3 linked regions of the Pelodiscus sinensis genome follow. The protein of the gene in region 1 purifies or fractionates together with the protein of each later gene. This does not show direct contact. Links are inferred from orthologs where the notes say so. Each region holds a gene or a part of one and is shown in the gene's direction. Other genes may lie near its edges.

Evidence for each region.
Region 2: the proteins of ARPC2 (region 1) and ARPC5L fractionate together in Homo sapiens (co-fractionation; 7 studies listed by BioGRID and IntAct, with this or other methods). This does not show direct contact. The link is inferred for Pelodiscus sinensis from reciprocal best matches to the Homo sapiens genes ARPC2 and ARPC5L.
Region 3: the proteins of ARPC2 (region 1) and ARPC1A purify together in Homo sapiens (affinity purification with mass spectrometry; 8 studies listed by BioGRID and IntAct, counting the BioPlex papers as one, with this or other methods). This does not show direct contact. The link is inferred for Pelodiscus sinensis from reciprocal best matches to the Homo sapiens genes ARPC2 and ARPC1A.

Annotation. Positions count from the first base shown.
Region 1 is NC_134717.1:1,292,138-1,302,523, reverse strand, and holds the start of ARPC2 (actin-related protein 2/3 complex subunit 2), read left to right. Parts: upstream 1-5,475; 5' UTR 5,476-5,555; coding exon 5,556-5,629; intron 5,630-10,386. UniProt on the Homo sapiens protein: Actin-binding component of the Arp2/3 complex, a multiprotein complex that mediates actin polymerization upon stimulation by nucleation-promoting factor (NPF).
Region 2 is NC_134732.1:24,989,049-24,998,939, reverse strand, and holds the start of ARPC5L (actin-related protein 2/3 complex subunit 5-like protein), read left to right. Parts: upstream 1-4,822; 5' UTR 4,823-4,910; coding exon 4,911-5,051; intron 5,052-5,826; exon of another isoform or gene 5,827-7,113; coding exon of another isoform or gene 7,114-7,152; intron 7,153-9,505; coding exon 9,506-9,577; intron 9,578-9,891. UniProt on the Homo sapiens protein: May function as component of the Arp2/3 complex which is involved in regulation of actin polymerization and together with an activating nucleation-promoting factor (NPF) mediates the formation of branched actin networks.
Region 3 is NC_134726.1:31,936,922-31,947,416, forward strand, and holds the start of ARPC1A (actin-related protein 2/3 complex subunit 1A), read left to right. Parts: upstream 1-5,462; 5' UTR 5,463-5,486; intron 5,487-6,056; exon of another isoform or gene 6,057-6,242; intron 6,243-7,120; exon of another isoform or gene 7,121-7,291; intron 7,292-7,542; exon of another isoform or gene 7,543-7,707; intron 7,708-10,495. UniProt on the Homo sapiens protein: Probably functions as a component of the Arp2/3 complex which is involved in regulation of actin polymerization and together with an activating nucleation-promoting factor (NPF) mediates the formation of branched actin networks.

The DNA of each region.
Region 1 (10,386 bases):
AGAATAGACAGCAAAGTCCTTGGGGGTTGGGCTCTGAGCATGGAACCTGCACATTGCGACGCGTAGGGGCAGTGGCAAGATAGGATCTCAAGTCTCCCAGGGCCACTGGGTTTGTGGGCACACCTCCGGTTTCAGTGCACACCAGATACACAAATAAGCAGCGCAGATAACCCACAAAGCACAGTCATTGTACTACGGCGAAGTGTGTGCTGGGAATATGAACAGATTCTGTGTGGGACTCAGTGATCGGTGCTGGCTCTCCTGGGTTCAATTCCTCACGTCTCCTGCTTCAAATCTTTCAGGCACATGTTGATCACAATCCCCACAGAGTTAACACATTTGTATGTTTCACTGGCAATTATTTTCCATGTATCTAAACAAAACATCTACTCCCTGGATCCCTGCCGGCAACCAGTGCACTCATGTGGCTTCTCAGCACTTGCGTGAAACTTGTGTGCTCGCAGCGATTCCGTGCACGCCAGCAGGTGGCAAGCGCCAGTGGTTTGTGGGTGTTGTGTGTGCAGCCATGCAGACCCTGACACAAATAGATCGTTTGCATCACCACAGATTCTGAAGTTTGTGAGTGGATCTGGTGGTTTGTACCCATGTGGCGATTCTGTGCACCATCAGATTCACGGTGCAGGACTGGAGTCCTCCTGTCAAGATGGGCACACGGATACATACTGTATGCACATCCTGGCCGCTTGACTGAGTCCTGGGCATACAAATGAAAGCATTGAAATAATATGGATCCTGGACATAGCTACAGATCTCATGCACTGATGCTGCATTGTGGTGGCACACGAACAAGAACCTGTGCGCTCTTTGGGATTCTGGGCACCCCAGCAGATGTGTGCACTAATACTGATTCTGTGCACACAAGCTGACCCTGTGCGTGACTATGCTTCCTGGATGCTAAATGGAACCCAGCAGACCTGCGTACTAATGCACGTTTCACTTATACAGAAGCAAAGTGATATTTTCTGTCTTATTCTCTGTCCCTTCCCTAACGATTCCCAACTTTCTCTTGGCTTTTTTGACTGGTGCTGCACAGAGTGGAGGTTTTCAGAGAACTCTCCACAGTGACTCCAAGATTTCTTTCCTAAACTGCTAATTTAGACCCATGATGTCGTGTGTGTAGTTAGGGTACTGGTTTCTAACGTGTATTACTTTGCATTTGTCAGCACTGAACTTCATCTGCCACGTAGTGGCCCAGTTCTGTCAGACCCCTTTGTGACAATGTATAGTCAGCTTTGGACTTGCCTATCTTGAGCAATGTTATATCATCTGAAAATTTTGCCATCTCACTGTTTACCCCCTTTTCCAGATTATTTATGAATAGTTGAAGTGTACTCCAGTCCTCTCTCCATTCTGAAAAATGGGCGGTTTCTTCCTAGCCAATTTTCTGTCTTTTAACCAGTTACTGTTCCATGAAAAGCCTTTCTCTCTCACTCCACAGCACCTTTGCTTTACAGCCTGAGAGTCCAAGTACACAATATCCACTGAATCCCCTTTGTCCACACAACCCCACCCCACCCCACCCCACCCAAAAACAAAAATTCTTATGGGGGATCCTATGCCCACAAGTCCGCCCCCTGCACTAGGCCCCTGCACTCCTGCAGGCTAACAGACTCCATGCACTAATTTGAATTCTGTAGGCTTATGTGGATCCCGTGCACACAGGCTCACTCATAGCACATCAGCCTATCTGTGCTATCCATGCACGAATTCGGATTCGGCAGGCTCCCCGGGATCCCGTGCACACCGGCCCATCCCTGTACGAATTCGGATTCGGCAGGCTCCCCGGGATCCCGTGCACACCGGCCCATCCCCTGCATGAATTCGGATTCGGCAGGCTCCCGGGATCCCGTGCACACCGGCCCATCCCCTGTATGAATTCGGATTCGGCAGGCTCCCCGGGATCCCGTGCACACCGGCCCATCCCCTGCATGAATTCGGATTCGGCAGGCTCCCGGGATCCCGTGCACACCGGCCCATCCCCTGTATGAATTCGGATTCGGCAGGCTCCCCGGGATCCCGTGCACACCGGACCATCCCCTGCATGAATTCGGATTCGGCAGGCTCCCGGGATCCCGTGCACACCGGCCCATCCCCTGCATGAATTCGGATTCGGCAGGCTCCCCGGGATCCCGTGCACACCGGCCCATCCCCTGCATGAATTCGGATTCGGCAGGCTCCCGGGATCCCGTGCACACCGGCCCATCCCTGCATGAATTCGGATTCGGCAGGCTCCCCGGGATCCCGTGCACACCGGACCATCCCCTGCATGAATTCGGATTCGGCAGGCTCCCGGGATCCCGTGCACACCGGCCCATCCCCTGCATGAATTCGGATTCGGCAGGCTCCCGGGATCCCGTGCACACCGGCCCATCCCCTGCATGAATTCGGATTCGGCAGGCTCCCGGGATCCCGTGCACACCGGCCCATCCCCTGCATGAATTCGGATTCGGCAGGCTCCCGGGATCCCGTGCACACCGGCCCATCCCCTGCATGAATTCGGATTCGGCAGGCTCCCGGGATCCCGTGCACACCGGCCCATCCCTGTATGAATTCGGATTCTGCAGGCTCCCGGGATCCCGTGCACACCGGCCCATCCCTGTATGAATTCGGATTCTGCAGGCTCCCGGGATCCCGTGCACACCGGCCCATCCCTGTATGAATTCGGATTCTGCAGGCTCCCGGGATCCCGTGCACACCGGCCCATCCCTGTATGAATTCGGATTCGGCAGGCTCCCGGGATCCTGTGCACACCGGCCCATCCCTGTATGAATTCGGATTCGGCAGGCTCCCGGGATCCTGTGCACACCGGCCCATCCCTGTATGAATTCGGATTCGGCAGGCTCCCGGGATCCCGTGCACACCGGCCCATCCCTGTATGAATTCGGATTCGGCAGGCTCCCGGGATCCTGTGCACACCGGCCCATCCCTGTATGAATTCGGATTCTGCAGGCTCCCGGGATCCCGTGCACACCGGCCCATCCCCTGCATGAATTCGGATTCGGCAGGCTCCCGGGATCCCGTGCACACCGGCCCATCCCCTGCATGAATTCGGATTCGGCAGGCTCCCCGGGATCCTGTGCACACCGGCCCATCCCTGTATGAATTCGGATTCGGCAGGCTCCCGGGATCCCGTGCACACCGGCCCATCCCTGTATGAATTCGGATTCGGCAGGCTCCCGGGATCCCGTGCACACCGGCCCATCCCCTGCATGAATTCGGATTCGGCAGGCTCCCGGGATCCCGTGCACACCGGCCCATCCCCTGCATGAATTCGGATTCGGCAGGCTCCCGGGATCCCGTGCACACCGGCCCATCCCCTGCATGAATTCGGATTCGGCAGGCTCCCCGGGATCCTGTGCACACCGGCCCATCCCTGCATGAATTCGGATTCGGCAGGCTCCCGGGATCCCGTGCACACCGGCCCATCCCTGTATGAATTCGGATTCGGCAGGCTCCCGGGATCCCGTGCACACCGGCCCATCCCTGCATGAATTCGGATTCGGCAGGCTCCCCGGGATCCCGTGCACACCGGACCATCCCCTGCATGAATTCGGATTCGGCAGGCTCCCCGGGATCCCGTGCACACCGGCCCATCCCTGTATGAATTCGGATTCGGCAGGCTCCCCGGGATCCCGTGCACACCGGCCCATCCCTGTACGAATTCGGATTCGGCAGGCTCCCCGGGATCCCGTGCACACCGGACCATCCCCTGCATGAATTCGGATTCGGCAGGCTCCCGGGATCCCGTGCACACCGGCCCATCCCCTGCATGAATTCGGATTCGGCAGGCTCCCGGGATCCCGTGCACACCGGCCCATCCCCTGCATGAATTCGGATTCGGCAGGCTCCCCGGGATCCCGTGCACACCGGCCCATCCCCTGCATGAATTCGGATTCGGCAGGCTCCCGGGATCCTGTGCACACCGGACCATCCCTGTATGAATTCGGATTCGGCAGGCTCCCCGGGATCCCGTGCACACCGGCCCATCCCTGTATGAATTCGGATTCGGCAGGCTCCCCGGGATCCCGTGCACACCGGCCCATCCCCTGTATGAATTCGGATTCGGCAGGCTCCCGGGATCCCGTGCACACCGGCCCATCCCTGTATGAATTCGGATTCGGCAGGCTCCCGGGATCCTGTGCACACCGGCCCATCCCCTGTATGAATTCGGATTCGGCAGGCTCCCGGGATCCCGTGCACGCCGGCCCATCCCTGTATGAATTCGGATTCGGCAGGCTCCCGGGATCCTGTGCACACCGGCCCATCCCTGTATGAATTCGGATTCGGCAGGCTCCCGGGATCCTGTGCACACCGGCCCATCCCTGTATGAATTCGGATTCTGCAGGCTCCCCGGGATCCCGTGCACACCAGCCCATCCCCTGCATGAATTCGGATTCGGCAGGCTCCCGGGATCCCGTGCACACCAGCCCATCCCTGTACGAATTCGGATTCGGCAGGCTCCCCGGGATCCCGTGCACACCGGCCCATCCCTGTACGAATTCGGATTCGGCAGGCTCCCGGGATCCCGTGCACACCAGCCCATCCCCTGCATGAATTCGGATTCGGCAGGCTCCCGGGATCCCGTGCACACCGGCCCATCCCCTGTATGAATTCGGATTCGGCAGGCTCCCGGGATCCCGTGCACACCGGCCCATCCCTGTATGAATTCGGATTCGGCAGGCTCCCGGGATCCTGTGCACACCGGCCCATCCCCTGTATGAATTCGGATTCGGCAGGCTCCCGGGATCCCGTGCACGCCGGCCCATCCCTGTATGAATTCGGATTCGGCAGGCTCCCGGGATCCTGTGCACACCGGCCCATCCCTGTATGAATTCGGATTCGGCAGGCTCCCGGGATCCTGTGCACACCGGCCCATCCCTGTATGAATTCGGATTCTGCAGGCTCCCCGGGATCCCGTGCACACCAGCCCATCCCCTGCATGAATTCGGATTCGGCAGGCTCCCGGGATCCCGTGCACACCAGCCCATCCCTGTACGAATTCGGATTCGGCAGGCTCCCCGGGATCCCGTGCACACCGGCCCATCCCTGTACGAATTCGGATTCGGCAGGCTCCCGGGATCCCGTGCACACCAGCCCATCCCCTGCATGAATTCGGATTCGGCAGGCTCCCGGGATCCCGTGCACACCGGCCCATCCCCTGTATGAATTCGGATTCGGCAGGCTCCCCGGGATCCCGTGCACACCGGCCCATCCCCTGTATGAATTCGGATTCGGCAGGCTCCCGGGATCCCGTGCACACCGGCCCATCGCGCGCACGAATTCGGATTCTGCAGGCACCACGCTCCGCCCCGCGCACGCGCACCAGCGGCCCCCCCAGCCCCGCCCAACCGTAGGCGGCGCGCGCAGCGGCCCCCGGGCCGGGGCCGGAAGTGACGCGGGCCGCGGGGGGCGGGGCCCAGAGCGGAAGCGGCGGCGCAGGCTCGGGCGGGTCCCCGGTGCGCGCAGCGGGCTCGGCTCCCTCCCCGGCCTCGGTCCCTCCGGCCCCCCCCGCCCCGCCCCCCCGCGGCGCCGCCATGATCCTGCTCGAGGTCAACAACCGCATCATCGAGGAGACCCTGGCGCTCAAGTTCGAGAGCGCGGCCGCCGGGTGAGGGGCCGGGGGGGGCACTTCCGGGGCCGGGGGGGGCGTCGGGGGGGCACTTCCGGGGTCGGGGGGGCGTCGGGTCGGGGGGGGTCCCCCTCCCTTCTGGGGTGGGGCCCCCTCTCTTCCCCCTCCCTTCTGGGGTGGGGCCCCCTCCCCCTCCCTCGCGGGGTGGGGCCCCCTCCCCCTCTCCGCGCCTGGTCACCGGCCCCGGGGCAGGTGGGATCCGCCCCCCAGTCTGGGCCGCCCGCGGGTCCTGCGCTGCCGGGGGGGGGGGGGCTTGTGCTCAGGCTGGGGGGGGCTCAGGCGCGGCTCCCTTCCGCGCAGAGCGGGCCCGGCCGTGCTTGCTCCGCGGGGGGGGGACCCGGCCTGGTCTCTCTCACTTCTAGTCTGTGCCTCTTGGGTGACTGGGGGTGCGCGGGTCAGCGCTGGCTTGCGCCAAGCGGGGCATGCTCCTGTCGGCTTCCCCCCGCCAGCCAGGCGCTGGCTGGGCCGTGCAAAGCAATAGCGGTAGAAACGTAGCCGTGTGAGTCGGGTGCGGCGGACACAACAAACAGGCCTGTGTAGCACTGTCAAGACTAACAAGATGGTTCAATAGCCTCTTGCAAAGGGACACGCTCCTCTGTCGTCCTTGGGCGCTTGGGGATAAAAGAGGCATCGGCGCAGCCCCCCGGCTTTTCTTAGAGCCTGATGAGGTTTTGTGGGCTGCACGTTACATAGGTCTAAACAGCTTTTCTCTTCCAAGCATTTAATGCAAAGGGTCCTGCCCAGTATGTGGCAACCATGTTCTACACTCAGTCCTCCGCTGACCCTGTGAAAGCGCAGCTACCGCCTGGCCTTCTCGAGCAAAATACTGTCTGTTGGAGGTTGTGTGTGTCTGAGTTGCTCATTTGTCGTGAGGCTTCACACTCGGGAGCTCTTCCTGTTGGAGGCAGCTTGGAGGACGTGTATCACTGTTCTTATCTAATAACATGACTACAGCTGAGGTTGCAAAGTACAGCCTTCAGACATTCGTTTGCCACATTACCCGAAGATGACCATTTACTCATTCTGTAACAGTTGCAGGTTTCCATTCTGCCCTACAAGGAAGCGTCACTTCTGCACTGACCTTCCTTGCATGCAGGACCCAACAGTTGGTTCTACTTATCTCAGTATCTTGGTTTGCTGATGCTGTCTGCCTTTGCTTTATATTAATCTGAGCATTGCTTTTGTGTGTTCAAAGTGAATCAAACAGACTTTATTGCTGTACCTTGCTCATGGTGATAGAAGAGAAGAAGTTGTAACTTCTGCTTTTTTTTTTTTAGTTGATACTAAGGCGCTCTTGTTCAGACAAGAACAGGGGCAAGACAAGGATATGAAACATTCAGGGATGTCTTTTTCAAGCTGTCATGTGTCTCATAAGTCACATGGAGTGGGTGTCAGTCTATACATTTATTAGTTTGTGATCTCAAAATGTGCTCTGTTGTTCAAAGTCAAAGCACAACTCTGGTGTTAGAAATGTAGCCGTGTTAGTCCGGTGTAGCTGAAACAAAACACAGGACTATGTAGCACTTTAAAGACTAACAAGATGGTTTATTAGATGATGAGCTTTCGTGGGCCAGACCCACTTCCTCAGATCAAATAGTCCTTTTGGAAAAGGGATATTTGTCCATGGTGGGATCTTAAGATCTATGGGTGGCACGGATGGCATTTGCTTTATTCCATTTTAGCTGTTGTTTTTTCAGGCAATGTCTTGTGAGGCATTTTAGGATGGTTGTGATGAGGGCAATATCACGAGACTTTGGTAACAGGAAAAGAATCAAGTTAGGGCATCTTACTGGAAGTAATCGTTTTCCCACTTTTTTCCAAATAACTTGAGCAAGTCCTGAGATGCGTAGAAAGGTGTGAGAATACCAACTAGTGTAGAGGCAGTTATGTGTAATGGTTAGGATACAGGACTGGGTATGAGGCGCGTGGGTCATAGTTCAAGCTTTGCCACTGGCTTGCTGTATGACCTTGGTGGTGTCACTTACTTTAGCTTTGTTTTCCCAGCTCTAGAACATGGATAATATCCACCATGTATAAAACTTTCAGAACCTGCCCTGAAATACTTTTATAGAATTAGAAGTGACTTCTGAAATCCAGCTTACTGCCAGTTGAAGATGTTTATAGAAGGAGTAGGGAACCGTTTTTGGGTTGGGGGGCCGCTGACCCACAGAAAAATCAGTCGGGGCCATACACAAGTGAGAAGAGCAAAAAACCCCAAACCCTCTCTGACCTGGTTCCCAGTGAACTGACACTATTTGCATTCCCCTTGCACACCAGAGCCTGGGGAGGGGGCTGGTCTAGTAGATTTTGTGTGCTCTAATCCTGTGGTGCCAGCATGGGAGAGGGGGGAGTCCTGAGCCTCGGGGACAGAATCCAGGCAAGCCAGGAGGCTGCATCTGGCCACCGTACCTTAAGTTCCCCACCCCTGATTTATAACCTCACTTGTGTACATAGGACTTTATTAGAAAGGCTGGGCAGCAAGGTCCCTGCTCTGAGATGTGTACTGTGTAAAGATGTGATCCTGCAGAACATGAGTTGCTTTTACTCCTGTGGAAACGATCACTTTGACAAGCATCTTAAAAGACAGGTTGGCTAGCACTTGACAGGCCTTGTATTTCTTGCCAAAAAGAATCTTTCCCTTCCCTTGGAAGATCTTTAGTTCTTGAGAAGAATTTACTGATCTGGTTTCATATATAACTGAGCCCCTCTCTCTGTCTCCCACTCAAACCATGAGAGCTGCCAAGTTGCATGAGGTTCTTGCTGGTTCATTACATCCACCCACCAGTATGCGAGAATTCCAGAATGTCAATTCCTGCATGTTCCCTATAAAGAAAAACCTGTGGAAATGATGGAATCTGTGACGCCTTTGGCAGCCAGGACAAAAATGCAGCCATGCCATCTTTAATGTTGGGTTTATAGGGCCTTTAAAAGCTGTTGCCACAGAATGTATTGCACTTATTACTGCATACATGTCACTTGAACGCCTCTGTTGCCGGACACTGTTGCATTTTCTTCATCGGAACACTTCAGCCTTTGTGCCCTCCAGTGAGAGAGCAGCCCTGGGAGCAAATGTTAATGTTAACTGCTTTCTTTCATCCCCACACCTTTAAAATGGTTTTAGAGCTATTGGCACACTGCAGGGTGTGTGTTTCAGAGTTTCTCTGGGGTGCTTCTGTTGAAGAGTCTGCTTTAAATCATCTTAGTTATATTGTCTTAAATCCCGTTAGCAGGAATTGTAGTAGAATCAAATGGAAGCGTCTCTGGGCAGTCAGCATGTCTCAAACCACACTGAGCACGCTTTTGGTGGTTAGGACAAACGTCTGAATGCTAGCCAGAGAACGAAATATGCTAGCCAGCATTATTTAGACTATTGCTGGCTTAGATCCCTGTGTGGTCCAGGCAGGGCTTGCAATAGCTGAGTGGGTAAGTGGGATTTTTGAAGCCTGGACTTAACATTATCATTCTCTCTGAGTTCCACAAGGCCAGCAAGGTGAATGCTTGCCGTGTGTCTGCTGCAAAGCAGAGAGGAAGTCTGTGAGGTTATGGCACACTGTATGTAATGAAGCAAGACTCCGGATATGTGCACTACATTTCTTTGGTCGTGCCACATCCCAGTGCACTGAACTTCTGTTGTGCCTTTCAGCTGAGGATCTCAGAGCATTTTATGAACAAGTCTCTGTGACATAGTGGGGGGGCTGTCTGCTCTGTAACCCGGTGTCCCCCTACGCTGTGATGTGAGATTCCCACTGGCTCACCCACATGTGTATTAGCCCAGACACCTAGGCCCAGCCTGAGCAGGTAACAAGGCTCCCCCCCCCCCCCAAGGGAGGGAGGCAGAGACGAACACCTGGTTTGGGGGCAGGGTCGGAGAGTGAGGCAGTGGCTGGCTGGGAAACATGAAGGAAACAGCCTTAGCTGAGGGTCATGGGGTCTGAGGCATCCTGGCCCTGACTCCTAAAACCACATAACCTCTGTGCTGTGCTGTACCTCGGAGAAGCAATAATCCTTCTCTGTTCTACTGTCTGGCGGAGTCTGTTCTTGCTGCTACAGGGGTGCAGGATTGGGGGAACCCCAACTCACTGTCACAGGTTTCTATCTCCACCTTACAAATGAGGGGAAATACTAACAATTGGAGAGGTGCTGTGGCCAAGATCTAAACATGGGTAAGTGTCAGAGCTAGGAATAGAATAGTCCCAGTCACCTAGTCTAACCATTAGACTATGCTTCCCTCTTTGATCCTGCCCAGGATGTGACACCAGTCTCTGAAAGCTGTATCAGACATGAGATGCTATCTTACCCCTCTCGGGCAAACCTGTACATAGTCCCCAGTGATTACAGAGCAGTGTTTTGTCCTGTAAGGCTTTAAGCTTTGAAGTAGCTGATCTTTATCCTTCAAAATTTGAGATGAGGTGATACCTGTGCATACCTCTGCCAGTACCCACACTGACCTTTGTGAGCTATGCGCTCCTTCAGTCAGACTGTCTGTGTGGTTAGTCGCCAAGTCTGCATTTGCACACTCTCTTGCTTAACATAGCACATTAGAAGCCTGTTTGAATAGTGATCTGTTCTCTCCTTTGAAAAAATTATTGTTGCATCCTACTGCAAACATTTGCAGCCTGAGGAATGAGGCTGAGGAACTTGTCTCACTTAGGGATGTGAACAAGTTGCCGGTTAACTGGTACCTGGGTGCAGCTCAGGTGGGAGGTAGAGAGCTGACCGTGCGGCTGGGCTCAGAA
Region 2 (9,891 bases), on another chromosome or scaffold:
GCACATAGTTCTTGTATAGTTCTGTTTTCAGGTGAGACATTTTTCCCTTTACAAAAAAAAATCATAATCGGAACTATTTTGATCCCATTATATCATTCAGGTTTTTGTTTGGTAAGTTTAAAGAAATTTCAGCAGCAAAGTTATTGCCTAGTGTGCACGATGGGACTGTAAATGCATTGTGCTGTGTACACACGTACAAGATGTAAAACTCAATTGTCCTTGTTAGATCTTGTTTTAAGTGAATAGAAAATAAAATGGTCTAAAGGGCTGTCTCTCCCTCCCCCCTTTTTTAAGGATTCCAATAAAAATACAAAAAACTGCTACAGCTATTGAATTTGTACATTATAATAATTGTTCTGATTTGTCATATCTTGTATTTTTAATAAAGTCATATCTTAAATGAAACCCACCTCCTAGGTTAAATATTGCAAATAAAACTCCTACTTTGTTGATGTGAGCATGTCTTCTTTCCTCCTCAGTAAGAACTACTTTGGCTATCAATTATAGAACTGATCTTAATGTTACGATACTATGTTTTGGACACAAACTTTAAAAGAGTGGTTCTCTTCTGAAAACTGAATGTATAGAAATGACATGATTCATTACAGCCACTCCTTGGATAGATGTCACTTACATACTAAAATAAGTTATTGCTTGTCACTTCTGTTATTGACTCTGCAAATACTAATGTAGCAGAGACACGAGCTGGGTCCTGTTCTTGCTTGTAAATTAACAACATTGTTTAACCTTGTTGTAACTGTAATAGCTTAGGTTGTTTCTGAATACCACACCAATCTTGGCTTTGATTTTAGGTAAAAGGGATATTTGTACAATGGATTTGATCTAGAGGTCAATGAGAAACAAATAGGGAAGTCCACAAAACCACTCTTGAAATTACTTTTCAGAGGAGAACTTAAGCAGTTGTGCCTAAAATACCTAATTCCATATTGAAATTTTGGAAAAAGCCACAGTAGTAAAATCGCAATATTAAGCATCTAATAGTGTCAGCAAAGATTCAACAGCTGGAAAGCAATTAGAGTTGGCAGTGGGTAAACAGGTTCCTACCAAAGAAAATGTTGAGATTTTAATTTATAAGTTTTAATTCTTGAGTGCAAGTAAAAACACTTCTGAGTCCAAGACTGCGGTCTTGAAACATAATTTAACTTTTTGGACAGACTCTTATAAGTCACAGGTATGGAACAAGTCCTGGCACTACCAAAGGGTTCTATTGCATTCTTACTCAGTTTACAGTTTGTATATTTATAGCATCTCTAATGGCTCAAGTTAACAATCTCACTGGGATTTAAGAATGTGCTATTTCCCTTTCACTGTCACTACTTTCCTAACATTTCAGAAGTATTCTGGTGAAGCCAGGCAAAAGTAAAACAGTTTATGTAGTTTTGAACATACATGCTCTTTTCATAGGATAACTTACTCTTTAACAATCTGATCTTTTTGACTTCATATAAATGAAGAGCAAGGTACTAAATTTATAAGTAGATCTGGCAAGGATCATGGGACAGGTAGACTCATTGGATTCCTATTGATCTCACATGTGGTACAGAAACCCACAAGTGCACTTTTCTTGGATTTGGACCTTGATTTCTATAATTTTGTAAATGGTATAAACTGAAATAGAAGCACACACATTCTCTGAAGACTTTTCTTAGCTTTGTTGGGTCAACAGTTGAAATATCCATGCCTTGAATCTTGGAATAATTTGGGAGTTGGGGAGGAGGATTTTTGTTTTACAAGAATGTGAATCTGACAACTATAATTGTGGAACACTGGAAATTCATTTACGTCTTGATATGTGATTAAAATTAATTTTGTTTACTTGAAACTCCTCTTGCACCAATTCTGTCTTACATTGTATATTTATACTTAAAAACTGGTCTGGTAACACTTTACAGACTAACAAAACCTGTAGATGGTATCATGAGCTTTTGTGGGTACAGGCCACTTCTTCAGATAACCAGAGTTTTGAGTTTAGGATGTGCAGACCCAAAATAAATAAGGGGGAAGGAAAAAAAGAAAGGTGGGGGAGGGTAGGAAACAAGGAGCAGAGATTATGAAAAAATCAAAGGGAAAAACAGGAAGGCAGAATAGGCAATCAGTAATTACCTGAAGATTGGATAGTTAAAATAAAGCAGATAAGGATCAAAGTCAGTAGGGGGGGATACTAACACAAAAATCTACCTAAAGAGCTGTTTGCACCTTCATTGAATGTTTGGTTGGTAATGGCCCAGCCATCCCTCGTCCCAATTGAGCCCATTAGCATGAGAACTGAACTTGCAGATGAACTGTAATTCCAAAACGTCTCTGTGTATTTCACTGGTAGAATAAATAGGCCTGAATACCTATGTCCTAACACCATTCAAACATGGAACTTTGTTTCTGGGTCAGTGGTGGACAATAATTTTGAGGGGGGAGCACACCTAAGAATTTGGTAAGTGGTCAAGGGCTGTACTCTTCCATGAGATTAACGAAAGAGGGGTAGAGTCTGCTATAGCGGTTGGGTACAGAAGAGAGCTCAAGGTAGGAAAATGGAGTGCAGAGTCCAGGAGCAAGGATGGGTACAAGAGAAAATTGTGATCTGGGACAAGGGTACAGAGGGTGGATTATGACCTGGGGCATTGAATTGGGATGTAGTAGAGGGGGGGGTGTCCAGTAGAGGTGCTAACTGACAGGCACTTACCTTAGGTGGCTCCAGGCCAGCAACCCACTGGGGGACTCTAGCAGGCTCCCTGCAGACCATGTCCCCACATGCCACTCAAAGCCCCTGGCTGTGGGGACAATATGCTCTTTGTAAGCTGTGCATCCTTTGGGAGACAGGGTGTTGCCTATGCCACAAGCATGGCCCAGGCAGCTCCCATTGGCTGGTTTGCAGCCAATGGGACCTGTGAGATTGTGCTGGGGGTGGGGACAGCATGCAAAGAGCACATGGCCCCCACAACCAGCTGCTGTGAGCAGTGTGCAGGGAAACAGCAGGCAGGGAGCCTCCCCAAGGCTCCCACTGAATTGTGAGACGGTGGCAGCCAGATGCGGTGGTTTGGTGGGCCAGGCTGTGGGCCGAATTTTGCCTGCCCTTGTTCTAGACCAGCGGTTCCCAACCTTTCGTAGCTGGGGACCCATTTTGACAATCAGGAAGACTTGGTGACCCAAGGCAATTAAAAAATGGAGGAGGACAGAGACACTTGGCAACCCTTTTGAAATGTAATGGAGACCCATATTTGGGTCCTGACCCATAGGCTGGGAAACCCTGTTCTAGACTGACCCCCTCAATTGTGTAATGCTCAACTCCAAATGGTATTTCTGTAAACTGTTATGGAAGAAGTGGTGTGATTATTCTAGGTGCTGCCACTATCTCAGCTCATGCATGTAGTGTGATACCATTTACTGATCTGTTAATCTAGTAGATACACTTCATTTACAGCAGGTTCTTTTTAGGGCAGTAATTGTATTAAAATGACAGTTTTCAAGTCTTGGATAAAACTGTACCTGAGTGGTGGCTTCTCTGATCCCTCTACAGTGTCCAATTATGTCTTCTCTATTACACAAAAAAAAAAAAAAAAAAGTTTGCATGAGAAAATGTTGGAAAAATCAATTGATCTTGATTGCATTGATATTATTGTTAGACTGTCATGAACTTAACTGTTTTCTTGTATCTCCAAGGCACAATTCATTTTCTCAAGAACAGAGAAGCAAACTGAAATGCTTGACAGGAGAAATGAAGACTTTTATTGGAATTGAAACACAGCTTGGGGGTGGGGAGAACCTCAGCAATGGGGAGTAGCATGTAATTTCTTCATTCATAAATCTAGCTGCAAGAAGTCACAAACCACCTTCTTCCATATCTTAAAAGGAAATGTCCATTTATGAGATGGTTGAACCTAGTAGCATAACTTTAAAAGGAGGGCAGAGTTGAAATGGTTTGTCATGTAATTAAAATATTTGGTATGTGGACCTGGCCACGTAAGGAGCTGGGCTACCGTAGCCCTACGCTTGCTATGGTTTAATGTGGTTCTCAACTTTTTTATTCTAACCTGCCCACCCCCCCACGTAGAGTTGCCAGATGAGTTCAACAAAACTACCGGACACATGTGACATTGCATCACAATCTACATTGCATCGGATTTAGAAAATACCCGACACTCCCATTGTCTCCGTGGCTGCGGCTAGATTGGCATGATTTTCCGGAAATGCTTTTAACAGAAAAGTTTTTCGTTAAAAGTATTTTCGGAACGGAGCGTCTAGACTGGCAGGGCACTTTTCCGCAAAAGCACTGTTTGTGGAAAGCGTCTTTGCCAATCTAGACGCGCTTTTCTGCAAAAAAGCCCCGGTCGCCATTTTCGCCATCGGGGCTTTTTTGTGGAAACCAAATCAAAGCTTTGCGCAAAGGGGCCTTTGCCGAAGGGAGCAGCCGGCATTCCCGCAGGAAGCCCCATTCAGACAGTGGGGAGTCCGTGCTCTTGCGGAAATCCAGGCGGCCGTGTAGGCAGCTGGCAGGTTTTCCGGAAAAGCGGCTCGTCTGGACACAGCCGGGTGTTAACCGGACCCTTGGGACACGGGCCTGCCGGTTCCACCCGGACCCCCCCCGCAGACACAAGCCAGGGCGCGTGCCCGGGGGGGGGGCGCTCCGGCTCCCTGCCCGCGGGGGAACAGCTGGCCTGGCGCCAAGGGCAGCGCTCGGGGCGGGGCTCCCTGCGGCCGGGCCCCGCCCCCCCGCGCCCCCCGCACTCCGCCCCGCCCCCACGGCCGCCTAGCCCCGCCCCTCCCCGCGTCCCCGCCTCACAGCCGCACGCCGCCCTCGTCCTTCCGGCTGCTGCAGACTCCCCCGGGGGGCGGGGTTTCCGGTTCCGCCCCTCCCGGAAGCGGCGCGCGGCAGGCGGCGGGCGGCTCGCGCCGGCATGGCCCGGAACACGCTCTCCTCGCGCTTCCGCCGCCTGGACATCGACGAGTACGACGAGAACAAGTTCGTGGAGGAGCCGGACGAGGCGGCGGCGGCGGAGCCGGACCCGGGCCCCGAGGTGGAGGCGCTGCTGAGGCAATATCCTTGCGGGCGGGGCCGCTCCCCCCCCGGCAATGGGCTCTCCTGGCCCAGGCTCGTGCGCCTGTGGGGCCCCTCCCCCCCCGAGACCCGTGCTCCTCCCCCCCTCCCCCGCAACGGGCTGGGCCCGGGGCTCGTGCGCCTGTGGGGGCCCCTCCCCCCCCGAGACCCGTGCTCCTCCCCCCTCCCCCGCAACGGGCTGGGCCCGGGGCTCGTGCGCTTGTGGGGGGGGGGCCCGCAATAGACTCGGCCCGAGGCCATTCCCCCCCCCCCCCCCCCCCCCCCCCCCCGCAATGGGCTCTCCTGGCCCAGGCTCGTGCTTCTGGGCATTTGAGTGAGTCACGAGGTGCCCGGGGCTGCTCGCTCGTTCTACTGTTCTGCGTGGCCCTGGGTTATATGGCAGGTCTGAACAGCCCTGGGCCTCGGCCGCAGTGTGGGCTTTGCTGGCTCCATGGACTCCCAGGGAGTGGGGTCTTGTGTTTCAAAACTTTGGGAAATGAATGTTTCACAGAGACTGATTGGACGAGGTTAAATAGCTCTGCGCAATTTGAAAATGTGTACAGTTGGAGAGGTATAAAGGGTATAATGTAACTGTTCTGCGGTATTCCATAATGCTCCTAGGTAGGGATGTGCCCAACTAGTCAACTATCCAATAAACAAATGCTTATCAGATAGTGGACACACTAGTGGATTAGTCATTCCCTTCTCCCCCTCCCCCTGTCAGAAAGAGGTGTGGGGGGGGAAGAGAGAGAGAGAATGGCAGGGGTGCTTCAAAGTGGCAGCACTGTGTGCAGCCTGGGGCAGTGCTACATGGAACCCAGGTTCAGCCGGGGACTGCCCTGCTGACCCTGGGCTCAATGTGGTGTTGCTGCTTTGAAATGCTGCGTGATGCCTGATGCTAGGCTCCCCATGGCATTTCAAAGCAGCAACGCTACATGGAGCCCAAGGTCTGACTCCAGTCTCCACGTGGCACTACTGTTTTGAAAAGCCATGGGGAGAATGGGGCCAGCGGGGCACTGCTTGAGTCCTCCACTGGACCCATGCTCCCCACAGTGCTTTTGCCTTTGAAGTGTAGCAATAGTCCTTGGGGTGTTGCTACACTTCAAAGGCAGATGCACCCTTATCAATTAATCAAATAGTCTATGCAAATTGCATTAACTATTCAATTAATGTCCCTACTCCTAGGTAGGACTCATTTATATTATAATTTACATTCTAACATCTGTTAAAGTGCTAAAAATGCGTGGATCCCTAAAATATTATCCAAATCCATCTCGCCTTTTCATCTGCCTTTTGTGGTCCAACTTAATGAGTTCTAATCACATCACACTCTTTTTACATGACAAATATTCATACTTTTCTCATTTGTATGTGCTATTTACAAAACCCAGAAAAGCAAGCAGCAAACATAAAAAATGAAAGCATGTCCCAGACTATGCTTTAATTTTGATTAAGATTGCTATCTCTTTGCTTATGGGGTTCTAATCAGATCCTGAAATCTGAAAAAACCTGAAGTACGATTGCAGGTACTACATTTGCATATTGCACCACCAACAGACCTACTAGTTTAGCAGCTTAAGAAAAGGGATTCTGTGGGACCTGATAATTTTTGTAGTGGTGGTTGTAATTTTTAGTTTATAGTGGATTGTTAAAAACATTGGAAGCAAATTTAGTTACCTAATACGGGTTGCAGACAGAAGTGGATAGAGAACCTTATATAGAAGGAGAATGTTCCATTGCCTCATCCCATTTCTGAAACAATTTTTCAAGTAGGACAGTATGTTTTGAAGTGAGTTAATTGAGCCAAACGGATATAAAAATGCTTAAAATAACTGTCATCAGCCACACTGGGACCTAACCCAGATTATTCCTTTTATTAAAATGCCTATATAGAAGATGAAAGCAAGAAAACGACTTGTTTTCAAATTAAGCCTACAGCAAGTATGTGTTTGTATGAGGTGAGCTGGATGGTCTCTGACTGGGAGTGATCTTCAGGAGAAATAGTAGTTTTAGTTTGTGCATCTTAGAAAATACCAGGTGGAGTTGTGCAGATCTCTCCAAGGTCACCTAGAGAAAAGCGCATGATAGCCTGGGTCTTCCACCTGCAAAAAGGGCACAAGCTTGCACCCATCACTAACGTACATCAATAGTGACTGCTTTACCACATGTGGAGAAGACAAGTTCATTCTCCCCATTCACTGCTTGACTTCTCTGCTCAGACTGTTAAAAAAATAATTGTGGTGGTGTCTGGGATGTGGGATTTGTCTTTATTAAGGATCTGGATTAAGCCTCACCAAATCATTTCAGATAGCTGCTCGGACCAATCAGACTTGGTTTCTAACAAAACTGGATTCCAGTCTGGCAGCGAAAGGTGATGGGCTCTGTTTCTCATTACCAATCCTCTGAACTCTCTTGTACCTATATTTTGTAGTTAAGATTCCTTTACTGTAAAAATTAAATTAGGTATCAGGCCAATAAATTATTCTGTTTGTATAATTTGATTAGTAACTAGTTTCAGTATGTGCTGACTCCTTTATATGGATCAGAATGCTTCCTGAGCAGAAGCTGACCCTTAAGTTGCATTCTCACCAAATAAGATAAAGTGCATCCTGGAAGACTTCTGAACAAGTGTTAGGAATGACTGGATTAACTACTTTATGGTGGGATTATTTTTGAAACCAAGTATGAAGTTGATAACATAGTTTTGGATTGGTATGTATTTCAGAAAGGAGCTCTGCTATTAAGGAAGTAATTAGTTCTTTACCGTCCTGCTATTACTTGTATTTATAAGCATGAGAAAAATAAATAGCAGATAGTTTGAGAGTTTACCAGTTATAGTTGCAAGTACATCAAGCTACTTTTTAGGTGACCTGTCCCCATGAATGCCATTCTTATTCGTCATACCTAGGACTGAGCAAATGACAGTGTTAGGTTATTATGTTGGTTCCACAGGTCACTGTGTGAGTAACTAAGAAAAAGAGTTTCCTGATTTACAGAATTTTAAGTTTTGTGGTGAATGAGGTTTCTGTTTTTATAACTGAAGTCTTGTCATTTTTAGTTTAACTGACAGGAAATCCTGTCAACTCAGATGTGAACAATTGCTTTAAAAACTGTAAGTGAAGAGGAAATTGACCTTGAAGCAAAATAGTACTTGTTTGCAATCCTTGCTGTATTGTTGGGCTTTTGCTGTTTAGATTTGTGGTCCCAAGCCCTGAAACTAATTAGATAATTGTAAAAGATAAATCCGGTGGGGGGTTTTGGCATTTTTATTCATGCTTTTTAATGTGTATTTAATTGTCTGATGCCTGTGACTTTCTGTACAATATAGAATTCCCCAAACTGCCTAGCTCCATTACCACAATCTGACTTACGTAGACAAGCTAACATCTCTTCATTAGCAAAGCTCAGGCTTCCACATTCTCCTCCTGGTTTTTTTAATGATGTTTTCTGAGTTTCTCTACTGCATTTCAATATCTTTTTCTGCAAATCTACAGTTACACTTAAGATTTGCAGAAGACAAATTGGGATGTTTCCCAAATGAGGTAAGCATTCATTCCCTTTCATAAATAGATGGAATCTGAATCTTTCCCATGCTTTCAAATCGCTTAGAGTACAACTGAGGCTCTACTATCTCTAGCTAGCTTAGGCTGTTCCTTGCACATCTATGTTGTTAAATCCCCTAATTTTCTCTCTACATACTGCTCAATGGAGAGATTTTTTTTTTTGGTTGACTCTTCTTACATGTTTCCTTAATTGCCCATAGCAGATGCTCAGGCTTCATTTTTAACACATTTGATATTTTCATCATGTTCTAGGGATGAGTTTGAGATAAGGAGTTGTGCAACTTTTATTAATCTTGGCATTTGTAATAATTCCATTTAATACTTTGTGTCTTCCTGGGCATGTGCTTTCAAAGGCATTTAGGTATTTGTCTGTAGCTTTGGTGGATGTTCAGCCTCTGGAATCATATGCAAGGTGGAAATAACATCTAAGTCAGTGTGTGTTAAACTTTAAGACCATGGAACACCAAATACTGTATTTTTTTTTTATGCGGAACACCTAAGAATTTTCTTCAAAAAAAATTGTCACACACAAAAAGACAAAAACTAAGAAAAGGTTGCAGCACCCCTGAAAGTTGTTCACGGAACATAGTTTAAGAAACACCGAGCTAAGCTGACTGAACTGAATTTGCTTTTTATGGGCACACTTTGACACTCTAATTTGCTACCAAAGTATCTTCTGGAAATCAAGTATTTTGTATTAAAGTGCACTGCGGTGATGTTTTGAATTAAATATTAAAATGAGTTATGAAAAGGGGTGGTGTGTTGCTACAGTTTCCTTGCTTCCCATTTCCATTGTCTCAAGTGACAGGGGTTGGAGTTCACTGAACTTTCCATTTTAGAATGTTTATTATCATCTTTAAGAATTTGGGTCCTTGACTTGCTATGCTGCACAGGTGATATGCTGAGAGCTTTTCACACAGCCCTGCGGAATTCTCCTTTGAACACAAAGAACCAAGCAATAAAGGTAAATGGAGCCTTCGGGTTTCTATTGGTGTGAGTGTTCCTTCACCTTGGATGCTGACACACTGACCCAGCTAGGGAGTATTACTACATTTTAAAATAAACATGTGAACCACTGAGAAATATACACTATATGCATTTTAATTTCAACACTCTTGAGTAGTACCTGCTTCTTTTCAATGGCTGGCCCTTTACCATGCATACTCAAGGGGAAGCATCTTAGACATGATCCAATATATGTACCTTTATCACCTTGCTGCATGCACTTGACTGGATGGAGTATGACAGCTGGGGCATAGCAGTGGGGGAAGCTTGCTA
Region 3 (10,495 bases), on another chromosome or scaffold:
ATTACAGGATCACAAACTGAATTTGAGCCTAGAGTGTGATAATCTTGGAAAAATAATATTCTTGGGTGTTGTAACTAGGGATGTAAAAACCACCCAGAATAGTTTAACTAGTTAAATGGTTTGTTTAACCAGTCAACCACAAGCTGCGGGTGAAGGGAGCTGCTCTGGGCCATGCTCGCTGCAGCCATGGCTGGCATGGGCTGCTCCTTCCCCACCACAGCTGCAAGTGGCAGGGACTGCCATAGCTCCACCATGGATGACAGGAGCTGCTCCAGGCCCGCAACGTATCATGGCCCTGCTGACTGGGCTGTCATGTGGGGGAAGCTCTGGCTAACTGGTTAGCTGGTAAAGATGCTGGTAAGGCATATGTTGACCGGTTACCTGGTTAACCTTTCATCCCTAGGGCTGTGTCTACACTGGCATGAATTTCCGGAAATGCTTAAAACGGAATACTATTCCGTTTTCAGTTTTTCCGGAAAAGGAGCGTCTACATTGGCAGGCTGCTTTTCCGGAAAAGCCCTTTTTCCGGAAAAGCGTCTGTGGCCAATGTAGACGCGCTTTTCCAGAAAAGAGAGCCGATCGCCATTTTCGCGATCGGGGCTTTTTTCCGGAAAAGACTACTGGTCTGTCTACACTGGCCCTTTTCCGGAACAGTGTTCCGGAAAAAGGACTTATGCTCGATTGGGAGCAGAATAGTTTTTCCGGAATAGTGGCTGATTTTGTACAGTAGAGCATCATTGCTTTTCCGGAAATTCAAGGGCCAGTGTAGACAGCTCGCAGCTTATTCCGGAAAAGCGGCTGATTTTCCGGAATAAGTGGCCCAGTGTAGACACAGCCTAGCTGTAACAGGTGTGAACTTGTATGTAAGACACAAGAAATACCTGGCATTTATGCATCTCCTCATTTAGTTGTCATCATCCTGAAGTTCTTGCCTATTAAAATGCATATATCCCAGAATCTCAGAGCTGGCATTTCACCAATTTGCACAAGGCAGGCAGAGTAAGTGCCCCTGCTTAGAGGCAAGAGATCAATGGTCGCTGGGTTTGGAGTTGGTAAATCTGAGCAAGCTCCCAGGTAAGCTGTCTGACTCAGACAGGCTTGGCACAGGTGCCCCTACATTCAACCCAGATTGCTTCCAACCCAAGGCTCTGCCACTGAGGTCATCTCAGCCCCTCTGAGTCTAGGGGGGCACAGAGCCAGAGCCATTATCTCGGGGGAGGGGGGAGCCTAGATGCAGACTGACCAAAGCCAGCCTAAGTGGGCTTTGCAGGCCCCAGTTCGGGCCTAGTTGGCCCAATGTAACCCCGTCCCCTAGTCATTCCCACCCTGCCTCACAGGCTGGACTATACAAGGACCAGCTGATGTCAAACCATTGCATGTCCCAGGACCCACCTTTTATTGGTTGCTGGTGAGAAGGGGCGGTGCTTGTTGAGGCACCTGAACTACAAATAGCAGCAGCCGCATCCCCTACTCCCCTTTCCTCTGTGGCTTGGTGTGGGAGGTGAGTGTGGTGGAAGATGGGCCCCAAGCTGCTTCAGGTGCTGGGGGTGGGTCCTCCTCATGGGAGCCAAGAGGAGAAGTGAGGATTGAGGTGTCCTGGCGAGGCTGGGGACAAGCCTTTTGCTCTGGTGGTGAGGGGATGGATCAGGTGGGTCTGAGGTGTCCTGCTTGGGGTGGAAGGTGGCAGCCATGGCGGGAGGGGTCTGACCTGCCAGTGCCGGCTGCAGTGATGATTCTCCTTACACATTAGAACTTCTGACGTGGATGAAGTGAAGCTGAGTCTGAGCCCCCAGTGTCAGGTCCCACGGGCCCACTTTGCCCACAGCCTGTTTCTGCCCTGTGGGGCCTGGCCCCATCCCCACACATGCATCAGGCCCACGCACTGGGGCTGCAAACCTCACCAGACTCCTCCTCTTCGCAGGTACCTCAGGAGCCAAGTGGCGTCCTGCTGCAGTCCCTGGAGAGCTCCCGCCTGAAGCGGCCTAGTGCCCACTGACCTGCACTTATAAACAGCAACAAAATGTCTGAGCTGGTTTCCTTGCTGAGCTGCGTGGCGCTGCCTTTGAGTGGGTGCAGTGTCCCATTGACAGCTGCACGGGCTAAGCAGCGGTGCAAGCAGAAAAGCTTGTTTGTAACTGGTGTTTCTTGGCTAAACCCAGGAACATCAGGATGGGACTGGGGCGATGCTGAGAGCTCACTTGAAGATCATCCTTAAACTGACCCAGTCGGCCCTGCTGGGTGCAGGAGTGGGCTGAAGGTAGGGGAGAGGGTGGCCTAATGGATAAGGCATCAGCTGAAGGTCCTATTTGGAAATCATGGGAGGGTGGGCAAAGCCCGCCCACCTTCTAAAAGCCCCTCCCCAGCCTTACGGGAGGGACACTGGACCCATGTCCAATTAATTGCTTGGGACAAATAATGACAAAAGGGTCAGGGAGTGCGGGCTAAAGGTTCAAAATAAGGGAGCCGGATGGGGACACCGAGCAGAAAACCCCGGACAGCGCCCACTGCTCCTCAAAGCTATCGAAGGAGCCAGTGGATGCCGCCCAGAGGAACTCTGCCCGGATTCGTGAAACCAGGGAGGAACGGAAATAGGCCCCACAGTCGCAGAGAACCCCCTCGTCCAACATCCTGCTCCTGGTATTATAGATGGTGGTCTTTGCTAGGGCCAGGAGCATCAGCTGAAGGTACAGTGGTGAGGTGGGTCCCAGTGATCTAATGGATAGGGCATTAGCTCCTGCAATTGTGGGTTCAAGTCCCACCTGTGTCCCCACACACCCAAAGGCTAGAGCACCACCACCATCTTCCTGCTGGTGAGGAAAGAAAAGCCTTCAGGGGAATGGCAACCTATGGATATGCAACCTGGAGGCTTTCCCCACTGCTCCTGTTAGTCGGTGCTTCCCCCCATCCATAGAACCTGGCCAAGACCCCTGCCAGCTCTTGCACCCTCCATCCTGATCAGACACCCCTACATCCAGCAGGGCTGTCTCAGGACAAGGTGGAGGGCAGCTCCACCTCCTCCAGAAAAGGCAGGGCTGAGGGAAGTCAGTCCTTAGGACTGGCTGAGCTTGGTCCAGCCCCAGCCAGGTAAGGTAATTCACCCCAGAGCCCCTCACATACTTTACTACCGTTCCTTGCCTCTTGCACCCTCCCACACACCCTGAACCCCTCATGGATCCCAAACCAGACTCCAATGTTTCATTTATGCTATTATTCATCATGTCAATTATCAATAATATTAAGTTGTATATTTTCAGGCATTCTTATATGGCTCTTGACCACTTATTCTGAATGTTGATGTAGTTTGGCTCTTTGGTTGGAAAAGTTTGCCTATCCCTGCCTCATCCCCTACCCTTACAGGATTCTGAAAGTCGAGACCCTGCATTCGCAAGATTCTTTCTGCTGCAAGCCCTTTCATTTGGAACAACATAGCACAGTCCTACTCTTCTGTATTCCCACAAAATTACAAACCTTGATAATCATATTTCAGCTGTCCTGCATTTAATATAAACATAGCTGGTGTCGGGTTACAAATTAAGTTGATTACGATGAGCAAAATACCACTCCCTATGCTGAATGTCCCAACAAATCTAAGCAAAGCAGAAGCAAACTGTATTGACGTAGACCAGTGGTCCCCAACCTTTTGAGGCTGCCGGGCGCGTCTGGGGGTGGGGCTGTGCATGAACCATGCACCCAGTGGTGGGGCCGCACCTGTGCCATGTGTCTGGGGCTGACGCCGCGCGCCTGGGGCAGAGGCTGAGCATGCACCACATGCTCGGGGTGCAAGAATGGCTTGGGCCGGCCCTGGTCACTCAATGGGTGCACATAAATGCCCCAGCGGGCGCCATGGCGCCGGCAGGGACCACTGACATAGACCCAGGGTCTCTCCCCGCTTCCAGCTAGCTGTCATGGACGCATTCCTTCAGATCTTACTTATATCAAGACAAGAAGTAATGGGCTTAATCTGCAGCAAAGGAGATTTCAGTTGGGTCTGAGGAAAACCTTCTATCTATAAGGATAGTTACACATGGGAATAGGCTTCCAAAGGTGGTTGTGAAATCCCTGTCACTGGAGCTTTATAAGACCCTGGTAGACAAACACCTGTCAGGGACGGTCTGGGATTCTTAAACCTGCCTCAGCTGGAGGAATGGACTAGATGACCTCTTCAGGGTCCTTTCCAGCCGTAATACGTGTCTATGACTCTGCGCTGGTCAGCATTGCCCTTCAGCAGAGGAGTCAGTTGAAACTAGAGATGGCGATGCCGGGGGAACGATGCTGCAGCCCCGAAAATGCTGGTGCCGGAAACACCCTCGTTGTCCCAAAATGAAGGTGGTGGTAATTAGGGTACGGCTGCACAATGTCAGCTGGGATCCCTCAGCAGAGCCTGGGATAAACCCTGCCACTTGCTAGTTTTTTCCTTCCCCGTCCTCTTCCCTACCAGTCTGCCTTCTGCTTCAAAAATCAAGCCAGCCAAGCCTCTGCAAGGTGGGAGGCAATGAGAGTCCCAAGGCATGTGAGGAATCTTGAGCCCTCATCCTTATTCTGCTCCCTCTCTGCATTATCCTCCCTAATTCTGCCTCCCAACCCTGCAGCAATTACCTGCACTCTCCACCTCCCTACCTGCCACATCAACCTGGGAACTCCATAATGGCTAGATGTCAGCAGGCAGGAGCTGAGAAGGAAGACAGAGAGTCCACCCACCTGCCTGGAGCCATCATCCTTAGTGGCTTGGAGGAGCAAATGCAGCTTGCCTACACCTCTGCTGCAGTTCTAGACAACTACTTACTGTATTTTCTTCACACAACACACAGTCAACCAGTGGAACTCATTGCCAGAGGATGTTGTGAAGAGCAGGACTTTAACAAGGTTCAAAAAAGAGGTAGGTAAATTCATGGAGGATAAGGATAGCCTGAATTTGCACAAATGGTGTCCCCAACCTCTGTTTGTCAGAAGATAAGAATGGGGGACAGGGATTCCCTGTTTTGTTCATTCCCTCTAGAGCACCCGGCATTGGCCAGTGCTGGAAGACAGAATATTGGGCTAGATGGACCATAAGTATGGCCAGTCTTATGTTGTTATGTTTAAAAATGTGAACCAAAGAAGTCTGATTACTCAAATATTGGTTATGAAAGTTGATTTTGATAAATTATTATAACTTATGTGAATGTTGTACTGAAATCTTAAGCAAGTGCATCTTGGAAAAAATCCAGATCTTATTTTTTTTCCTCCCCAAACATGTTGCGTTTCCTTCCCTTTGCCTGAAAGTGACACATTTCAAATGCTGAAGCCTACATTCCACTTCTAAAATAGATACTTTCACCCACGAATGCATGTGTTTAATTATCAGTTTTGCGCAATCCATGTTGTGCACGTGCTGAGACCTGTTTGCATATGCTTATGTAATTCTGACAGGCAGAACCAAGCCTGGGACCTCTAAAGCTTAGTGCATGAGCCTCTACTGAGTGAGCTAAAAGCCAGCTGCCTTTCAGGTAAGGTTGTAGAGTAGACTGAGTCTCTTCGTAAGTGGTCTAGCTGCCTCTAGGTGGGACAGTAGACCACACACATACACATTTGCATTTTGAAACTATGGCCAATCATTTTTTCTTAATACTTAAAAGCAAACAATGTATACAAGGGATGTAAAAGCCCTTTTAACCAGTTAAATGGGATCCCACGGGTGGGGGCCCCTGAAGCCCGGCCAGGCTGGAGCAGCCCTCCCCCTGTGGTGTGTTGGGCCTGGCCAGGATGGAGTAGCCCCTCGCATGCATGGTGTAGCACAGCAGACCTGGCTGGGCTGAAGCAGCCTGACCAAGCCCAGCAAGCCTTGGGCTGCTCCAGCCAAGCAAGGCTGAGACCACTGCAGGCAAGGGGCTGCTCCGTCCAGGCCGGGCCCACTGCGCCATACCAGATGGGGGAAGGGGCTTCTCCAGCCTGTCTGAGCCACCAGTTAACCAGTTACATCTCTAATGTATATTCAGGTTTTCCTGAAAACTTCCCACTGTTGCTCTCACATTAGTAACATTCCACTAATATTAGAGAAGTGTAAATTGATCACTGACCTTTTCGCTACTAAGTCCTCTACTCCCAATTCAGAGATGCTCAGATGTATTGGTGAAACTGCTAGCAATTTATTTGCACTGGAACATGTTGTACCTGCATTCAGCTGGAGTACAGGTGGGAGATTTCCTGAAAACCTTCGTTGTAGACAAGGCCCTAATAGTTTTGCATTCATAGTATCCAAGCTCCTGAAAAACACAGTTGCTCTGTAATATATCTGGTTCAGCTGGTTTCATCCCTCTCCCAGTGAAAATCATTTTGTAAATGTAATACTGTATTTAAATGCAATTTCAGTCCTGTTGCATAATGTGTAGTTGACCTAATTACATATCTTTAATCTGTACAACTAAATGAGTTTTCTAAGCAGTTTTCTAAGGGATAGCATATCACTCTAATCTTCCCATCCCACCACTCAGAGTTGTTCTTTTTGCACTGCAATTTGTTGGCTTTCCAAATGCTGCTTTTTATAAATGTGGTGGTAGTGTTGCCTAGAGAATAGAACACTATTACACTGAGACAGCTCTGCCCACTAAGCTGAACTTGGGCATGTCACTTTAACCGTTCTGTGCCTCAGTTTACCCAGCTGTGCAAAAGGGGTAACAATGGCATTCCAGTTTGATTTACACTAATCCCTAGCTTTTACACAGCTTGGTAGGTCAAAGCCCTTGGCAAAGGAGGTCAGAATTCACACAGCTGCTGGATCAGCCTGTGATCCTGGCCCAAACCTCTGCCTCAAGCCATCACACCTCCCAACCACCACCTTGGAACTGGCTCTGCATTGAACAGTAACCAGTCCGCAGTACGCATGTGCAACTTTCATCTCCAGGACTGACCACTGCACATGTGCAGCTCTCCCCTTCAGGCTAGCGACACTGCGCATGCTCCCTCCTATCTTCCTCCCTTCCCTCCTACCCCCCAGCGCCTTTGCGTAAGGAGAATTCTCGCCTCAACACGCTCCAGTTCTACGCGCAGGCGCAGAGTGCGGGGGGACCCTCCTCCCCACTCCCGGCCCGTGCGCAGGCGTAGTGGCAGGATCTTACCCCGCCCCGATTCTGCGCGCAGGCGCAGAGGTAGGAGCTGCCCGTGGCCAGTGCGCAGACTCCAAGGCCATTTCCTGGATCGCTTGTCAGTGCCGGGCCCCGCCGGCCGCTCCCTCTCCCGCCGCCCGGAGCGGAGTCGCGTTGACTGACCAGAGTCCGCGAGTCCCGCTCCGCTGCCTCCTCCCCTCCCCCCTTAGGTAAGTGCCGGCGCCGCGCTCACCCCGAGCCCTTCCAGGCCCCCTCCCCTCAGCGAGTACCTGGGCCCGCCCACTTGCCTCACGCGGGGGGGGCGACGACCGGACCCCGCCCCCTCCTCCCCATTCTCCTTGCGGCGGGGGGGTTCGACTGTTCCCAACGGCTGCGGGGTGGGGCAGGGCACTGCCGAGCGGCGGGGCTGACCCCTCCCCCCCCCCCCCGCTGTCTCTCCTCCCTCCCCCCCCCCACTCACCGGGGCCGAGGTCTCGGCGCACCTGTGCGGGGAGCCGCGGGGTGCCGGGGCCAGCCCTCCCCAGCGTCGAGGGCGAGCCCCGCGCGCCCGTGGCAGGAGCAGCAGGGGCACAGCCTGAGCGAACAGCTTCTCCTGCTGTAACGCCGCCTGTATCCGGGCGGGAGGGTCGTTAGCCCCGGGAGAGGCCGACTTGCAGGGGCAGTGAGCTGCAGACACCGCCCTTCCAGGAGGGATGCTAGAATCTTTGTCGCCGTGTCACCCCTGAAATTGTCAGTCTTTGCGTCGGGTGGCAGTCGGCTGCCCTGGAGCTGGGGTGCAGAGGGGGAGCCAACCAGCATGTTGCATGTACTGGTTCCCGCCTGCCCCCCCCCTGCACTGCTGCCTCTGATACAGCGACAGCAATGCAGGGTGGCAGGCTGCTCCCTGAGAGCCGGCGTTTAAGCCAGCTCCCCCACAGGAGCCTGCTTGTAGGTCTCATTGGTTAACTGTCTACATCAGTGGTCCCCATCCTTTTCAGGTTGCCGGGTGCCAGGGGGCGTGGCCGTTCGCCCGCCGGGCGCCAGGGGGCGGGGACACTTGCCCGCCCGGGGGCGGCCCCCCCCAGCCGCATGCCCGGGGGCGGGGCCCCCCCCATAGCCACGCACCCGGGGAAGGTGCCCCCCGGCAAGCGCCGCGCGCCCGGGGCCGGTGCTCCCCCCGTAAGCGCCGCGGGGCCGGGGCCGTGGCCAGGGCACGCGCGGCGCCCCCGGGGTGGGGCCAAGGCCGGAGCCGGCCAGGGCACGCGCGGCGCCCCCGGGGCCGGGACCGGCCATGCGTCCGGGGCTGGCACCTGCCAGCCCAGATTGCTCCGCGGGCGCATGTAAAGAGCCCGGCGGGCGCCATGGCTCCCGTGGGCACCGGGTTGGGGACCACGGGTCTACATGATTGCACTTTCCACTTTCACATCCCTACCTTCCAGGTGACTTATGTGATCTGAAAGGAGATTGGCGGGGGTTAAAAAATATTTGTTTGGCACTATATCTGGATTCTCAGGCAGTATTCCTACTCCATGGTTGTTGGGAATAGCCCTGTAGTGTATTTGCTGTCTTAATTAGGGAATGACAGCAGCCTAATACTCTTCACCCTGTTATCTCCCCCCTTCTCCCTCCAAAAAGGAATCTGATACTGTATTAAAAACATAAAATTCCCAATTTTAAATTTCCAGTTGATATTGGAAAGCAAAGATTATTACTCTGCAGTTATATTCAGTAGCTATCTGAGGCCAAGTGCCTAGATAACAAGGTTAACTAGGGTGATATATTTCCTGTGGGGGATTCTCAAATTAGTCTGACAGGCAGGTATTGGTATTAAAAGTATTGGTAATAGGGATGTAAGCGATTAGTAGTCGACTATCCAATAAATATAGTTGCTTCCACTCCCCCTTGCTGCCTCTGTCATAGAAAGGCAGCAAGGGGGGGAACAGGAGCCGGTGCTGGGGGGTGCACCGGTTCCCACTGTGGCTGCCTTTATGAGAGGCAGCAAAGGGGGAGAACAGGAGCCAGTTCTGGGGATGCCACCGGTTCCCCTCAGCGCCATCTCCAGGGTGCCACCTACTCCCCCTTGTTGCCTCTATCAGCTCTGGCTGCCACAAACAGGGGTTGGTGCCAGAGCAGCCTCTATTTGTGACAGCCAGCCTTGTCCACCACGAACGGAGGCTACATCAACACTAGGCCCTGTTTGCAGCAGACAGGGCTGCTGGGCTCAGTGTGAGCCGAGACCGAGCAATACTGGCTTTTGCTGATTGTTGTGCCTCTGCATTTTAAATGTAGTAAGAGCCTGACAGCTCTTACTACATTTAAAATGCAGAGCTACAGCACAGGTGGCTCCTGGAGTCAGCACGAGCCAGGACTGCTCAGTCCCGGCTTGAGCCTGCTCCTGAAGCTACCCCTGCTGTGGCTCTGCAGAGCAGTCCTATCGACTAATTGGATATTCGATAGAATTTGTATCGACTATACAAATAGCTGGATAACCTCATTTTAACATCCTTAATTGGTGGTTGAGAACTGCACTAAACACCTATCAGTAATATCAAAGTGCCAACTTCACTAAAATGTGGATTAGTGTCTTTGTCCTTCAGTGAGCTCTTTGGTGATTAGGAAGAGTATGATTAAAACATTTTATTGAATTGAATTTGTATTGAATTGTTCTTGACTCTCCTATAAGTTGAAAGTTAGGAAGAGGATATTATAGTTATCAAATATTGGTGAGAAGTATTCTTTGAGAATATTTTCTCCCAGCATTGCTTTCTCTTGTGATTAGTTGGTCATCCAATACAGAATGCTTGTCACTAATACAGGTGATCCAATGTCTGTCTTATGAATACGATTATTGTGCCAGAGAAATCTAGTTATTTGGAAAGAATGGATGATACCTTTTCTCTTGATTCACTGAATGGGCATTTTAAGTTAATACTGTGTTTGGGGGAGTTTTTCTAAGGTGAACTAGAACTGTTTTTGTATTTGAGCATCTATTTTTTCATACCAACCTGATGTGTAGTCTGAAGCTTAGAAGTAAAATCTGTGGGCTAGATGTTACTTTTTCCACAGAAGAACTACATGCTGGGGAACATTATCAGGATTGTGCTAGAAACAGTGTTTTGAAATAAGTATACTCATTATTTTTGGAAACTTTTCTGCTTTTTATTTCTGAAAGAGTAGAAAGGGCTGAGCAATCCTGTTGGTTTAACCGCTCTTCAGTTTTTCCTGTATATGGAAATTTACTGCTACTGTGTGTTGGCATGCACTAAAACAAGAACATGATCAAAAAATTGCAGACATTTTGTATAGATTAACAAATGGAATCTCATTGTGCCTGTCCAAGGTGGGAGATAACTTGGATCCCTTTTAATTAAGGAGAAGGTGGTGATCTCGCCCTGTGGTAGGACTTCATAAAGCCTCTCCAATAATAGTTGTGT